Linked DNA regions of Oreochromis niloticus. The protein of the gene in region 1 interacts with the protein of each later gene in a pairwise test. Links are inferred from orthologs where the notes say so. Each region holds a gene or a part of one and is shown on either strand. Other genes may lie near its edges. The genes, in order: ankrd40 and ahcy.

Region 1 (8,174 bases):
AGGCTTTTGTGTCCGTACCTTTCTCAGCATGGTGTTGGGCAGCTTGCGGATCTTCTCCACGTGCTCGGCGCTGATATCCAACTCACGGCAACAGACTCGTAGAAGGGAACGATAGGTGAGCTCCTGGCGGTCCAGCTCCACCTCAATGAAGTCGTTCTCCCGTGCATTGGGGTTCTGGATACGCACCTTCAGTACCAACTCTAGAGAGCGAGAACAACAGCAATACATCTTTACATTAACCACCAAAGTGTCACACAGGCACCAGGTGCATCTTGTCATTTTGGCTGTAAAATCATAAAATAATTATTTTCTTTCAGGAACCATTTGAACTTTCTCTACAGCTCAAAGTGGTTGAGAAGTTTTGGTAATCTCAAGCACACATGGTAACATGTAACCTGTGGAAACGCAAATATATGATTTTTCTGTCTGTGCTCAGACAGCAGCACCTTATGAATGCTTTGTACTACTATGAGAGACTGAATATTCTTTCTGAACAGTTCATTTACTGATCATTTAAAAAGTGAAAAGAAAGGGTCTGTTTAGTTTTTATGAAAGCACATTTATAAAGAAAGCATGCTGGTTATATTTTGTCATAAAGACCAGTTTCTGGTTTGACAGGTTGACGACATCATGCAGACAATTTAAGTTGTTATATCTGTGATATTATTAGTAACTCAGCTGCAAATATCCATATTGCCATGCCACATGAAAGTTTTACTGTCAAAACATTCACCGACAAAGTGTCAAAGAGCCTGGTTCTTTCTTACCCCTGCTACGCCTGACACCAGAAGGTGTTTAGCAGTGTGCAGTAATTTAATGGGGCTCTGCTAGCTGCCAGGAAAACTCAAGGCAAAGGAGGAAGTTACTACTCTCAGCTAAGAAATCCTTACAGCATGCAGTTTCTAGAAAATAATCCATGCTGTTGGTTTTATATTTCTATTTGCATAAACATTAATCAAACAAGATGTATAAAAAGTAAACCGCACGTCATGTTTATTAGAAAAATGTGCTGATACTTGTGGTGCTGTACCTCGAAGCTTCAGAGTAAACCAGGGGAGCTGTTTCTTCCCACTTAATGTGTTTGAAATTGAGATAAACATTTCCTGTTATTTTAATCTTTAATTCTCAGTAAACCCACCTTGTACATTGACAGGGAAGGTGCTGGTGAAAAAGAAAGGCTGGAAGGCTGGCATGGCACCACCAGCCTGGCCGTAACTCAGCTGCTGCGGGATGGACTGCTGTCTGCTCACAGTTGGGTTTGTGCTTGCCACTGGGGCTTGGACCTGGCTCCCACCGTTGCTAGCCAAGCTGGGACTGGGTGAGGCCAGTGGAGGCGAACACACGGTGCCGTTGTGCACCACTGTGTGCGGGTAATCGGCGTGGTTGACGAGGTGAGGCTCGACTGATAGGTCCATGGGCACCGTGCAGTTAACGACAGCGTGACTGTGGGAAGCAGCCGTGCTGGGTGAGACACCGTTCTGCTCGTTCACAGGGATGAACTCCCCAGTCTGGGCTTGGCTGTGGTTGATGGTGGGATTTGAGGAAGGAGCGGAGGCATCAAAGACGAGGCTCTGTGATTTCCGAGGAGGCTCGTGCGTTGGCGAAAGAGATGCCGAATCACTCTGCGTGTCTTCAGCGTGCTCTCCAGAACCGTTTTGTGTAAGGTGAATCACCTCTGACTTCTTGTCCATCTTGGAATACATAAAGGGCGGGTTAGACAGGTAGTTGGGGACGATTGGCAACTCGGGCTCCTTCACTTCAGGCACTTCCTCCACCTCAACTGTTGCAATAATGATCACAAAAGAGGGGGCATTATTTCCTGGAAACAGACTCGAAAAAATAGCAAAGATTGCCGCAGATGTGTCAACACAAATGCCCAGTGTTATAACTGATTATAGATACACACTTCACTCACTCAATCGCACTTACACATTCATGCAGTACTTTTATCTATGCCTAAGCACTTCCTAACATTCATACACTGATGGATGCCCAAGGAAGCTTCAGCATGCAGATCAGAGGAGCCGGTATCGATCCACTGATGCTACAACTGGTGGACAACCCGCTCTACGGCCTGAGCCGTAACCAGCCCAGTTACACCGATGTGACACAGGGAGCAGCAGAGTGAGAAATGCTGACTTTACCTCCTAACAGTCTTTTGATCTCCGGCTTGGATGTCAGTTGTGACGCTAACTCATCCTTTGCTGTGAGGATGTCTTTGTCTGCTCCGCAACTGAGTAAGTAGGACACTATGTGCTTGTGATTCCTCTTGCATGCCCAGTGTAAGCACGTCCTGCAGGGATTATTGGAGAAACAAGACAATTTAGTGTTGTACAAAAAGAAAAGGAAAAATAATAACAGAAATATACTGTATCACTCAAGTGGTACCACCTCTCATTAAGCTGACTATAGTGTGTGGCACTGGCATACAAAATGGAAACATATAAATAATGTATATATTACTTTAAAACTTAACCAAAATCTCGATATGACTCTATTTGGTTCTTTATGGGTGCAAAGTAACTGATGATGGGCGCATGCGTGAAAATGTAATAATCAAAGGTGGGTTTGTGTTTCCGAACTCAATAACCAGGCTACAGCAAAGAGAAAAAGCTTGTGGTTGAAGCAGCCACTTTACTCAATACTTTGCTTGTTTGCTGGTTTTAAAGTAAAGCTAAAAGTGGCAGCGCTGGCTGATTAACAAGCCCTGCTTGGCGTAATAGGATAACGCTGAGCAGTGTTTTTAATCCCTGTAGCTCTGCTCTACAATGACTGCACTCAACTCCTGGCCGGCTGCAGTCGCGACCGAACAAATACTACTATAAATCGGTGAAAACACTTACCATCCGTTGATTTCGTTTTGTGAGTTGACATTAACCCCACTCTCCACTAACGCCCGCACTTCATCGATATCCCCGATGGCAGACGCCTCTCTCAGCTGCTCCTGTAGCTCTTTATCCAGCGAATTTGTGGACATTTTTGGTTCACACGGCTAGCGACGTGCGCTCATAGGACACGCAAAGGCCACGCGAATTATGTTGCCAATACTAATTAGCTAAATATACTGGTAACCGCTAGCATTAGCTACCAGGCTAACCTTACCTACTGGCTAGCTCGACGAGGTGCTAGCTTATGGCAGCAAATCGCTTTGGTTATTTCAACTACGTGTTGACCGTCTCTGGCGTTCACACGTCAAGTCGTGTCCCCGCCGCGTGTTTCTGCTGTTAGTTCGCGTTACAGTGGCACCACATGCACTCGCTATAAACTCATTCAATCAAGCAGTAGTGTCAGAGCTCCGTCAATGCACTGCCAAAAACACCGCCGCCTCGTCGGGGGGGCATCTTTAGATGTGACAACAGTGAGCACAAATGTTAGTTCCCCTCCGAGGAATCGCGTAGCCCGTGCGATTCCCCACGTAAATTGTGTGATACTGCCGTTGGCTGTCATGAATAAGGAAATAACTGGGAGATAAAAGTTCAAAGTACTTCAACTGTTTTTTACTCACACGTGTTGCAGGCAAGCTGGAATAAACCTCCCTACACTTATAATCGCTACTCCAGAAAAACCTAAACAGCTGTTGATTATTTGTCCCAAGCACACCTGTTACTTTTGTTTTTATATCCATTTTAATAAAGTTATAAATACTGGTTTTAAACTTGAAGTACATTTTTAAGCTGAATTTCCTCAGTATGCCACTAGAGGGGAGCAAACACCCACGATACTACACTAACTTGAACTTTGGTGTAAGATACACCAGGGATACTACAGCTGCAAGGCAGCAATTTTAAAGAATCACAGTTTCAGACTTTATGAGTGGCGAGGGGAATTGCAAGAAGACGAGAGGAACGAAGATAAGGAGTCTTAGTGGTAAAGTGAGGGAGTACAACTAAGTATTCAAAGGAAGAGGTTAACAAAGAAAAAGTAGACAAGAGTACTGGGAGGCTGGGTGTACAGCAAAGAGAAGTGGCAAAGGCTAATAGTGGATTGTATGTAAGGCTCTGGACACTAAGAACAGAGAACAGGAGTTGTATAAACTGGTTATGGTAAGAGATCAATGTGGAAAAGATGCATAGCAGTTTAGGGTGATTAAGGTTAGAGGTGGAAATGCACAAATGAGTGAAAAAAGTACGTTGAGAAGAGCGGAGGGCCGATCAAGAGGATTTCAGAATATTATTTAGTTTTCAGTGATATTAACTTTCTTAGCAGAAAACTAATATATGATATTTGAAATTATATTTGACAACAGCATAATAAAACTGTGAATTCTGTTTTGGCTCTGCCAGCCCAATAGTTTTAGTGGCCCCCATATGACTACCGTATAAAACATTTTTGGGAGGCACCACTGGATGTAAGAAGATGCAATGCTTGCTCTGAGTGTTGCTGTAAAGGTGCATAGAAACTCAGAGGGAGTTGAAATGAGTTACTAGATGGTAGTAAAACCTGTTATGATGTATGGCTAAATGAAAGGAGAGGAGACAAAGTTACAGTTCATAGATGGTGGACTGAAAGAGGACATGCAGAGGGTTGGTGTGACAGAGGAAAACTAAAACACATTGGGGACAATAACAGGAAATCTATGTGGACTTGCTTTAATAAATATTTGGTCAGCACTGAAGTCACAAAAGTATACATTTATTAATCATTTCTGGCAGTAATCGGATCTGGCAAAATCTGCATCACTGAGATAGATTTTGATGATGCCATAGCACTGCATCTGTGAAATATGCAGTCAGAAAGCTTCACGTGTGTTTGTTGTTATCAACATTCACTGAGTTTGAAGTTTTTAGTGTGACCGATGGGAACTGAGTAAAAGCAACAAGTAAACATTATATATTACAGTATCAAATAAAGAGCCAATGCCAGTGGAAAATAACATTAGTTCATCTCTGAATGTCCTTGTGTGATATCCTCTGATGAGCCTTTTCATACACCACCACAATCTGGCTATTCAATGCAGCATTTGTCTTCAAGAACCTTAAAGAAGTCCAAACGCTTTTCTTTCCAAGCTCATCAGACTAATCTGAACTTGCTTCCGTTGTAAACTTTCAAAATAAAACAAAGCACAAACATACGCAGTGCCGCAACATCTATTTCTGATCAAAATACAAATAGAAATTGCATATTTTGTCCGTTTTTGATCAATGGTAAAAGTTTGCAGCACTATACGGAGAACTGAATCCTGGACACGATGGTCAGACTAGTACTTCCGGTTCAGAGGCCGCGGGAGCAGCTCCTGGGCTGGTTGTACTCGGACTGCGAGCGGGCGTTGTTGTTACAAGGTCTGCCATTTTGATTAGAAGCACTTCGCGCAGCAGATGGTGTGAGTTAGGCCTTCTGGATATTATTGTAGTACTTTAAATTAAGGCTACATTCCCGCAGAAAAATGCTTTCTGCCGCCCAGTTACTCGACGAGTTGATGGGTCGAGATAGAAACTTGGCCCCTGACGAGAAGCGATCCAACGTACGGTGGGACGACGAGAGCGTAAGTTAGCATTCTAGCTACCATTAGCTTAGCTAGTTTTAAAACCTATTAACCGTGAGGTGTCCAAAATACGCGTGCATGGCGTGCGCGGTGAGTATCGGCTAGTTTAAGCAGTATGGCCTCCAAATTAAAATTTCTCGATTCACGCACAGAATCGATGGCGAAAAGCGGGCGGTTTGAGTCAGTGGTGCTTGAACACGCGTGTTAGCGAGATTAGCATCACGATTTGGTCATTCTTAAAAGGTTTCATAGGGCTCACTTCAGTTTTAGCAACTTGTTTTCTGGGTATAGTTGGGCTAATAGTTTAACTGTGTTAATACAAATGATTTCGATGTGCTAATGTGTGAAAGGACCTGCACATTACGTTCTCTAAAGGTTATGCTCTGCTTTATTGCATAAACTGGCATTGCGATGTCTGAAGACTTAATACGGTTACATACATGCTGCTTTGTATGTAATTCGGCATTAATATTTAATATTAATAATAAATACTGTTTTCCATGCTGTTGTGTTTTTGTTTCACTTGCAGTGTTGTGGGTATTTTTTGTGTTCTTAGTTCAAGCAGAAATTGATTAGGTAAATTTGTACGACTACCACATTCATTTGCTTATAGTTGGTCTAACTAACATGCTGTCACTTAATCCAATGTGATCTACTATGGAGGCACAATTTACATAAAACTGTTTGATATGTTTTCTTTTATTCAGGTCTGTCGGTACTATTTGTGTGGCTTCTGCCCTGCTGAGTTATTCACAAACACTCGCTCTGACTTGGGTAAGTTGGGAACTTTGTATTCCCAAAATGTATTATAAACTGGACAAAGCCCTTGAGATTTGACAATAATATGTTTATTGTTTTGGGTTCCCAGGTCCATGTGAGAAAATCCATGATGAAAATCTTCGAAAAATGTAAGTTCTTATTGTGGCTTTTTTTCTTTTTCTTTCCTTTTTTTTTGGCTTGATATTTTACACATAATTAACCAATTCTGTGTCGTTATATCCAGGTATGAGAAAAGCTCTCGCTTCATGAAGGAGGGTTATGAGCGAGATTTCTTGCGCTATCTGCAGTCACTACTGGCGGAAGTGGAGCGGCGGATCCGCAGAGGGCATGCCCGGCTTGCACTTTCCCAGGCTCAGCAGAATGCAGGGGTTCGTGCTTTTATTTGAGAACATCATTCTCAAACTCCTCTGTGCATCTTCATGTTTTCTCGGACCACAGTGCAAGATATGAATCTAAAAGAAAATAACATTACCTGTATGTTTCTGCTTAGGATGTATTGAACTTAGTTGTACTCATGTATTCATTCTGCAGGGCCCTGGTCCATCAGGAAAGAATGAGGAGAAAGTCCAGGTTCTAACAGAGAAGATCGAAGACCTGGTTGTGCAGGTTTGCCCGAAATCTTTAAATTAGTAGTGTTTGAGGAAAAACTGAAAGATTTGAACGCGGGTTCTTGCATCAGGATATCTGATGGTCTCCTACAAGTTCTTCTTCTAATGCCTTGCCACAGTGGAACACCTGCCTTCCTCTGACCTTATTACTAGCATCCTCCCCTGTCACGCTAACTCTCTGCATGTCCTCCTCCTTTACATCCATAAGTCTTCCTTCCTGGTTTCTCCCAATGAATATTTCAATATCTTTAACTCTGCCTCCTTGAGCTCTAAACTGAGTTTAACTCATACATCATAGCAGGTGCGACTACCATCTGATAATCCTACCCCTTCACTGTAGCTGCTATCATTCTGTTACAAATCACCCCTGACACTCATTCCTACCCACACCTCTCTGTCCACACTCATGTCTTCACCTCTCTTGTGCGGTCTGCATTACTTCGGCTGGTTGATCACATATATTTAAACTCCTCTACTTTAACTACCTCTGCTACTCTGCAGCTTCACTGTTCCACCAAAATTTGTGAATTTAGAAGGTATGTGGACTGCATGGCTAACTGTACATGCATTTGAAAAGACTACATTGGAGTCTGATAAAGGCTGTCCTGTCAAGAGGTTCACTGCAACCCACACTTGTGCAGTTTCTCCTTAAAATAATTGAATAACAAACAAATGTAATTTGTGAAAGGAGATTTTGAACCCTTTGGGAAAATAAGGAAAGGTGTTGCTCTTCACACTGATCTAAGTGTAAGCTGACTTCAGACTTGAAATCATTCAAATAGGATCAGCTACCTGTTGTGACCACAGCTGTTTTTGTGCATGTACTCTAGACTGTATGACACTTCAGATGCTTTTTCCTGACTGTATTACAGATCACACTATTTAAAATAAAACCACCTAAATTCTTATATGCACTCCATAAATCAAGTCGTGACATTGTAACATGGCTTTTTTCTTTTTGTCAGATTGAGGAACTGGGCTCTGAGGGCCGAGTGGAGGAGGCCCAGGGAATGATGAAACTGGTGGAGCAGCTGAAGGAGGAGAGGGAACTACTCAGCTCCACCCCCTCGGTGAGTCAGTTTACCCTGGGCTAATCAGCCTACAAACACAGCTTAAGATAGCATAACATGCACATCACCTACTATTAGACAGGAAACATAAGTTTAATTCCATTTCAAATACAAAAAATGAGTTTAAACTTAGCTGGTGAGCTAAAAGTTATTTTTTACTGTAGCTGTATTTCTTATTAATACTCTCAAAGTAAAATCTGTGCGAGCTGGGCAGGCAGCTATGATGGAAATCAG
Region 2 (8,313 bases), on another chromosome or scaffold:
GTGTCTCTGATGCCAATTATTTTATCACTACAGCTCTTTTAGTATGGAAACTCACACAGTCTAGTCATACTAGTCACAAGAGTTCAAAAATAAGTTAAAATAGTGAGCTGTTGTTAAGCATCAAGCATTTCAGGGTAACAAATAACTGCACAATAGAATTAAAGCAAAAAATAAACACACTGGAGGACTATCTGATAAAAACTAATATAATGCTGGTTTGTAGACCATATTTTGTCTCAATCCTCAGTGCACTCTTGCAGCTTAGCATGCAGCAGTTAATAACAACTTAAGTGATTACATAGGGGTAAACAGATGACAACAAGCATCGGAGTCCTGCCAAAAAGTTCTTTTTGAACCCAGCCAGTTATTGGAAATATTCCCAAAATGAACTTCCACCAAAATACAACAGCCTGTGAACTTGAAAGAAATTTACAAGTACAGAGACAATATGAAATAAGCTTTATTAATTAGCTGAGTTAGCTTGCTAATATCGCAACAGTGGTTGAGTGCACAACCTTAAAGCTAGCGGCACAATACTTGTGATTTGGTCAGTACCACATTAAACCCATAAAAAAGGCCATGTGTCAGTTTATTAGGTCAAGTTTGGTCATGACACACAAGCTGGACCTTGTCGGCTAAAGTTACATTAGCTAAAGCAAACATTTCGGTAAAAGAGAAAAACACACATCATGCCATAAATTCAAAACATGTTCCAACTTTTGTAGCTCTCTTTCCTTATAGTTATAACCAATGTTACTCACCTTGAAAGCATATTCCAAAGAAGACGATTAGAAAACGTCCAAGTAAAGTGAGCATGTCGTTAACCGCCGATTCCCCATGATGCACCTCGGTAGGAGTCACGTGAGGCAGTTTTGAATCCTGCTGTGCTCAACTTACCCACATTGTCAAGTTCACATAAGTTTCTGATTTAGCTGGACATGAGTTTTCAAGTTAGCTTTTTTTGGTGTAATTGGGACGTTTTTAACTTGTAATTCTATGTTATAACAACAACTTCAGTCATCTATCGTCAAACTGATATAGAATAATATGTTGAAATAACAAACATCTAGAATTACATTTTACAGTGCAGGGTTATAATGCTTGCACCTGTTATTCTGTGTCATAGACATTTAATAGCGCAGTATTGTTACTGAAAATACGAGATATCCATTGATAGCCGGATCGGATTGGATCTGGACACAACCCACAATACAGGTGACAGCTGTTGGCCTCCTTTCACAAGGTTATCTGCTAGAAGATTAAACCTCAACCATGTTCTTTGAGCTATTAAGCCACTCATCTACTGTAGTTACAAGCTAATGAAATCAAGTGGTATTTTTATATGCCAGTTATCTAGTCACCTTATATTATACATGTCTGCGTCTGCTATACAGGCCTCAGAATGCAAAATGAATTATCCATAATATCTGGATGTATCACAGGAAGAAAGTGCAAAACAGAAGAAAATTATTCACCTAAATAGTTCTTTAAAGAAGGTTTTATACATTAGGCAAATACCAAGAGATCCCAGACATCCTATATCATGACATGAACAAATTATACAGGACTGCAGACATGCAATAAATGTTACCAGAACAAAACAAAACTATAGTATCAGCTACAGAAGGTGCTTAGGTCCTTGCTTAGAGACCAGTGCATACTGTCACGTCACTGCCAAGTCAGAGCAAAAATGTATGGCTCTCACAACATTAAACTGACAAATCTTATCATAAACAAATATTGTATAGTATGAATCCAGCACACTCTAGACCTAGCATACCTTTAAACTGCAGTCAAATTCTCTGCATGCATAAGCAAAAAGCTGCTTAATCAGGTCTAATCTGCACTATTGGAATTTGTTTTCCTCACAATACAAAGACTGGCTCAGTTGTTTGTCCTCCATTACTGCTTCTCCAGCTCCGGTTGTGCAAGTATCCTCTAGTGAACCATGTAGAATCTGTGATTGAACAGCTATGGCCTTTTTCCTGTTAATAACCAAGCGCATGACTATCAGTGCCTACTTGATGACACTGTCTGAAAGCCTATACTAGTGTCCCTACTTTTAACGTGCAGTTTCCGTTTTCTCTGACACGCAGCATTTGGCAATTGAAGTGGTTTAACACTTTTGACTCCTGGTGTTGTCTGGGAGTGGCTGTATGAACTTGCTTTAACTGGGTAATCCAGTCTACAGGCTGTAATACACTGGGTGGCTCCACTGACCTGACAGATTGTTCCACTGAGACTAAACTATCTGTGTGTGTGTATTTTGTAAATTTACTGTTTTTGGAAATATGAATCATGTTTGGGACATAAAGACAAATAATTACATAAATGCTATATAATCATGAAAGCTTTAGAAATCTAGGCAAGTAATAGGTATTATGAGTAAAAAGGTAGACCTTAGACAGAAATTGGTACCCTAACTCACTGCTTTTGGTCATGTTTGAAACTGCAAGGGTACTGGTCTAGTGTGTTGTCTGAAATAGAGACGATTTTGCGTTTTGAATTGGAGATGGACCCCGTGTCTCTCATTCTGGGCCTCCCAAGCCAGCGCTTAATCTCCAAGAATAATAGTAGGTTGTATTGTATTCTCACCTATGCGGTGATTGCATGCATTAATGAAAAAGTACCAACTGTTACTGTTAAAGGCTGGCAAAGAGTAGTGTTTGATCTAGTGCCACTGGAATATCTTACATGTATATTACACTCAAAAACAGACCAATTCTTTATGGTGTGAGAACCCTGCTTGAAATATGTGGGACCTGATGTCTCTAATGTCATGCTACAAGGATTTTCTTGAGTTCTCATGCTGTATATTATTACTGGGACCCCAGGTATTGTTTAGATGGATCTGAGCTGGTGTTCTGTGTTCAGTTTCCTTGTTTTTGTTTTGTTTTTATTGCTGTGAACTGTACACCATATTATATTATGTAATTATGGGTTGTTTGTGAAAATGAAAATTAATAAAAATATTGTTTAAAAAAAAGGTAGACCTGAACAAGGAGATACAATGAAAGTAACATGTTTCGAAATTAAAGTGTAATTAACTGAATAAAGGAAACATCTCACACATTTTCATAGCGTGCGGGGTTTAAATGTCAACAAAGATGTCGGGACTACGGTGGATTTGAAAGCCAGTCAAAGTTTAGGAACCAAAGCATACATATGATCCTACTGACCACTTGATCTCATTAGTAAAACATTTGAAAAACACATCTTTTACCTAACCATATTACATTTTTAAATATTAATTAAAATGATTAAATATTATAAAATATTGTGTGAATAAACCAAAAAGTTGAAAAACTTGTGGGATAAATACACTACACTGCCAAAAGTATTCACTTACCTGCCTTAACACTCATACGAACTTGATTGACATCCCATTCTTAACCCATAGGGTTTAATACAATGTCGCCCCACTCTTTGCAGCCATAAGAGTTTCAACTCTTCTGGAAAGTCTTTCCACATGGTTTAGGAGTGTATTTTGGGGGATTTTTGACCATTCTTACAAAAGTACATTTGTGAATTTAGACACTATTGTTGGATCAGAAGGTGTGGCTCACAGCTCTAATTCATTCCAAAGGTGGTTTTATCAGGTCAGGAGTCTGTGAAGGCCAGTCAGGTTCTTCCACACCAAAGTTGCTCTTTATGTCTTTATGGACCTTGCTTTATGCATCGGTGTGCAGTCATGTTGAAACAGGGATGACCCCTTCTTGTTTCAACATGTTTCCACAAAGTTGGGAGCATGAAAATGTCTTTGAATGCTGAAGCATTATGAGTTCCTTTCACTGGAACTAAGAGGCAGAGCCCAACTCCTGAAAAACAACCACACATCATAATCCCCCCTCCACCAAATTTTAGACTTGGCACAAAGCAGACAAGTTCTCCTGGCAACCACCAAACCCAGACTCATCCATTGGATTTCTGAACGGAGAAGCATGATTTGTCACTACAGAGAACGCGTCTTAGTGGTGGCCTGCTCTATACCACTGCATCCAACGGTTTTGCATTGCGCTTGGTGATGTAAGGCTTGGATGCAGCTGCTCACTCATAGAGACCCATTCCACAAAGCTCTCCATGCACTGTTTTTCAATTTGAAGGCCACTTGACGTTTGGAGGACTGTAGGGATTAAGTCTGCAGATAGCCGGTGACCTCCGCGCACTATGCGCCTCAGCTTCCTGCTCTGTGATTTTATGTGGCCTTTCACGATATAGTATATGTTTGCCTCCAAAAAACCTACAACTTTGCTTTCCCACTTAAGCATAAATTCATAGTTCTTGAAGACTGAGTTCAGCTGCAGCCTTAAATTGACCTAATACAAAAACTATATTATTAAAAAAACATATTTATTAACAAAGGAAAAACTTACAAGAGGACCCTATTGAAGTTGCTATATAGGAAGAACACTGGAGTATGTGTAGGAATAACCGTAAAGCAGCTGCCTGTGTGCAAAATGTTATTCAACTTTCGCAGTCGGCATTACACAATAGAATAAAGTAGTTTACACTGTCACTTATCTACAAACCAGGAAACCGCCGACAGAGTCCAGCCTGAACTTGCTTACACACTCAAACTTCTCGCCTCAAGACCTCATTTCATGATTGACTGGACGTCCCACATCACCCGTTACCCAATCAAGTCGTTTACGCGTGGGGCGGGAGCTGCTGCAGCCAATCGGAGTTCAAAAGAGAAGCGCGTTCTAGTCGCCCTGTCGAGTGAACTCGCCTGGATGAGGCTTCGACGATAAAAACCGAGCCGTCATGTTTTCGTCCCTCCCTCTCTGCCTCTGTCCGTCGGCCAGGCTCCCGCTTCTCTCAACCTTACCGGAACGTAACACCACAAAACAACCATGTCTGAGAAACTTCCCTACAAAGTTGGTCAGTGTCAATGTTTATTGTTTCTGCCGTACTTGTATATCAAGTTAAGCTAAGCACGTTCGCTTTTAGTTAGCTAGTAATGCGTTAAGTTTGCAGGTTGGGTAACGGTTCCCATAGGCGTTGAATTTAGTGTAGAGCCAACCGTATACCGAAATAAATGTTTTTGTATGCCTAAGACTAATTTTTTACTTATCCCAGACTTTGCAGGGCTTTCTGGACTCTATTACCGCTAACTTGCTAGCATGTGGTGAAACGTGATATGTTATTACCGCAGTTTAGCAAGCTGTCCAGTTAATTTGTCGGTGTTTCTTAGTCATTTTAGCAGTTAACTTTTAGATTTCCTTTTCCCGGTATGTGAATAATGCATACTTTGATTCATTTCTGAGAATGAATCGACATGTAACAGCCATACTTGCATCAGGCATGGGCTGCTCCGTGAACGAAAGCTCACCTAAAGCCTCTGGGAGTTGTAGTCTATCAGTGGAACCGGTGTCGCTAAGAACCTTTGGTTCGAGCTGTTTGTAAACTACACCTCCCGTGATGACTTGCGCTTCACCGCCAGTTTCTGTGTGAGTGACAAGAACAGGCATAGACAAAGCTGCACTGAATGCGACTTGCAAACCAGTAACGGAAGCACTACACGTGGTGTTTGCCTTTGCGTAAGCTTGATAATGTTGATGTCAGGTCTCTCTGTTGGAATACAGTTTTTTGTTTTTTTTTGTTTTTATGGTTTTGTTCCCGAATTAGACTTGGTTCTCAGTCACAATTTGCTATAACTGAGCTGTTAATTAATTTGAACTGTGCTTCTATGTCTGCCATGAAAATGGACAATTGGTCTATTGAAATGCACCAAATGTGAACCACACCTGCCGTGGATGATATTCTGCAGCTGCCTAGAAACAGAAGCTGTTAGGCAATATCCCGCTAATTGATAGGCATGAGACGAAGTCCGCATGCAATCCAAGGGTCAAGAGTTTTAACACAATAGCTGAATCTGTTAATTTGTGATATGTTAATATATGCAATAACACTCATTTACTACAAGTACAATTACAAATGGTTAATCAGTAGTTAACTACAAACATTTAATCAGTACTGTCTTTTGTATTGTACACTGCCTTCCCAAGTGCTGCTTGATTACAAAAAAAATCATAACCACAGTCATTGTGGTCAGTAATTATATATAAATAACAATTCTTTTACAAACTTACATTAACTTTGGAGAAATGGTAAGTTTAATAAACTTATGAAAGAAGAAATGTACTTTTTAATTTATTTCCTTTAACTGCTAATTATAACTAAACAGAAAAAATAGATTCATGACCTTTATAGGGAAGCCATTGTCAAGTAAAAAGGTGTATTCATAGTTGAAACAACAAATTGTTGCAAAACTTGTTTTTCTGTTGTAGCATTCGAACTGAATGTATTGTTTATATTTGAAGTTAAAATGTGATTTATTGCACAGCCCTAACCAGAAGGCTATTGTAGTGGGTCGACAGCTATGATTACAGTAACAAGCCAAAGCAGCATGTTTCTGAGAGCAAGGCTGGTAGTGCTGCCATATGTTATTAAATTATTATGACAGTGGTCAGAAAATTTATTTATAGATCTGGAATTTTTGCTGTGAATTTATGTCTAAAACTAAAAGCAAGAAAAATTAGGTGTATAAATAAGGTCTTAACTAGTGGTAGGTTTCAAATATGCAGATGGCATTGTAGGGAAAACAAATCAGTCAACTTAATTTTAATGCCACTTGGCCATCATTGTTGTTGTCCCTCACACAGTTTACACACTTTAAAATTTAGTTGCTTTCTTAATGGTAAAAGCAACAACTAAAACAAAACAAAACAAACAAACAAACAAACTCCGAAAGCCAAAGAGATGTAATTTACTGTTGTCTGTGGCAAAGACAAGTATCAGATTTTGTGTAAGAACTGCTCCACTTTTGAATAACCCCAGTATAATTCATTTTTGAATCCTAATATTTATGCAGAAATTATATTTATTTTACATGTAATGTACATGTACATGACATAACACATTCTACACTTTGTAGGAATGGTTTGATATTAATATAGGCACATGGTTGTTCTGAAAGTGCACTTCATACAAAGCAACAAGAGGCTGAAGTGCTAACAAAGAAACAGGATCAAGAACAAACAGACTTTTTGTAGATTTACGTGCTCTCTGTAAAGATCTGGCTTACTTGGCTCATTCCAATTTGAAAAGGATAATCACACTTCCCTATTGCATGCCGTTCATGACATGATTTTATTTCCTCAGTGTGACCAACTTGTGGAACAGCAGCAACAGCAGCTGTTATGAAAGTGAAAGAAGGGAGTGTAGAGACAAACCTCCAAAAGTGCAAATCTGTTATATCACAGCTGTGGTCATGTGAATTCTCCACCTACAACAAGATGATTAGAAAAGAGAAGATTATACAATTTCATATAAGAAATCTGTGCAGATGAAACTGGGTATGCACAGGGTGCTAAACTTGCACACAATTTTGCTGGTATTCTGGACAGCACAATTAAAAATATTAGATTTGCCTTTTTGAGACTTATAAAACTGCAGTTTAAAACACAACAGAGTTGCTGATTTGCAAAACCACATCCTGATGATGTGGTTTTATGCATTTATTCCCTCCAATTAGTTCTTTTTGAAAAATGGAACACTCCAGACAAATAACGTATGAATGTTATGACTGCCATTTGTTTTTTTATTTATTTATGTTAACAGGTGTTTTCCTTAAAGAAAAACACTCAAGTTTTAAACTTTTGGACTTGAATAAACAGACCAAGTCTGATGCATATATGAGGCTTTACCTGACAAAAAAAACATCCACCTGAGAATGCTGGACCAGAGAGCAAGCTTATTGCATTAATCAGTTTTATCTTTGTACTCCTTTTGACAACCTGCTGTCTCTTTTCTAGCTGACATCAGCCTGGCTGAATGGGGACGTAAGGCCATCGACATGGCAGAGAACGAGATGCCTGGCCTCATGAAGATGAGGGAGATGTACGGTCAGTCCAAACCTCTAAAGGGAGCCCGTATCGCCGGCTGCCTCCACATGACCCTGCAGACTGCCGTTCTCATCGAGACCCTCACTGCCCTCGGAGCTGAGGTGACATTTAAAAGCTGCTTTTTAATATTTATTTATCAAGAGAGCTTCCAGTAACTTTGCCTACATTGTGCAAGGGCACATATGCCCTCTTACTTTCTGCATTTAGACATAGTAATGTCTTTTTGAGAACAAACTGTAGGTCCCTTTAAAGTTGATGCATATAGATCTGTCAAAATCCTTTTTGTTGTTTTTCGATAAGACTGTGCAGACCCTCAAGACAACTACAGTAGAGGACACATTAATTGATTCATTTATTGGTACAGCCCATCTGGAGTCTGGCTTTTCTCCCCCTCTGTGTGCCTCAA

Evidence for each region.
Region 2: the proteins of ankrd40 (region 1) and ahcy interact in binary tests that used the Homo sapiens proteins (3 or more experiments, as listed by UniProt). The two-hybrid records come from large-scale screens. The link is inferred for Oreochromis niloticus from reciprocal best matches to the Homo sapiens genes ANKRD40 and AHCY.

What each region holds. Positions count from the first base shown.
Region 1 is NC_031969.2:16,507,275-16,515,448, reverse strand, and holds the start of ankrd40 (ankyrin repeat domain-containing protein 40), read right to left. Parts: upstream 3,436-8,174; 5' UTR 2,978-3,435; coding exon 2,844-2,977; intron 2,294-2,843; coding exon 2,145-2,293; intron 1,781-2,144; coding exon 1,139-1,780; intron 201-1,138; coding exon 19-200; intron 1-18. Other genes in the region: luc7l3 (luc7-like protein 3), read left to right, coding at 5,384-5,482, 6,190-6,256, 6,351-6,390, 6,486-6,630, 6,794-6,868, 7,836-7,940.
Region 2 is NC_031970.2:14,730,619-14,738,931, forward strand, and holds the start of ahcy (adenosylhomocysteinase), read left to right. Parts: upstream 1-4,722; 5' UTR 4,723-4,853; coding exon 4,854-4,881; intron 4,882-7,817; coding exon 7,818-8,008; intron 8,009-8,313. UniProt on the Homo sapiens protein: Catalyzes the hydrolysis of S-adenosyl-L-homocysteine to form adenosine and homocysteine. Binds copper ions.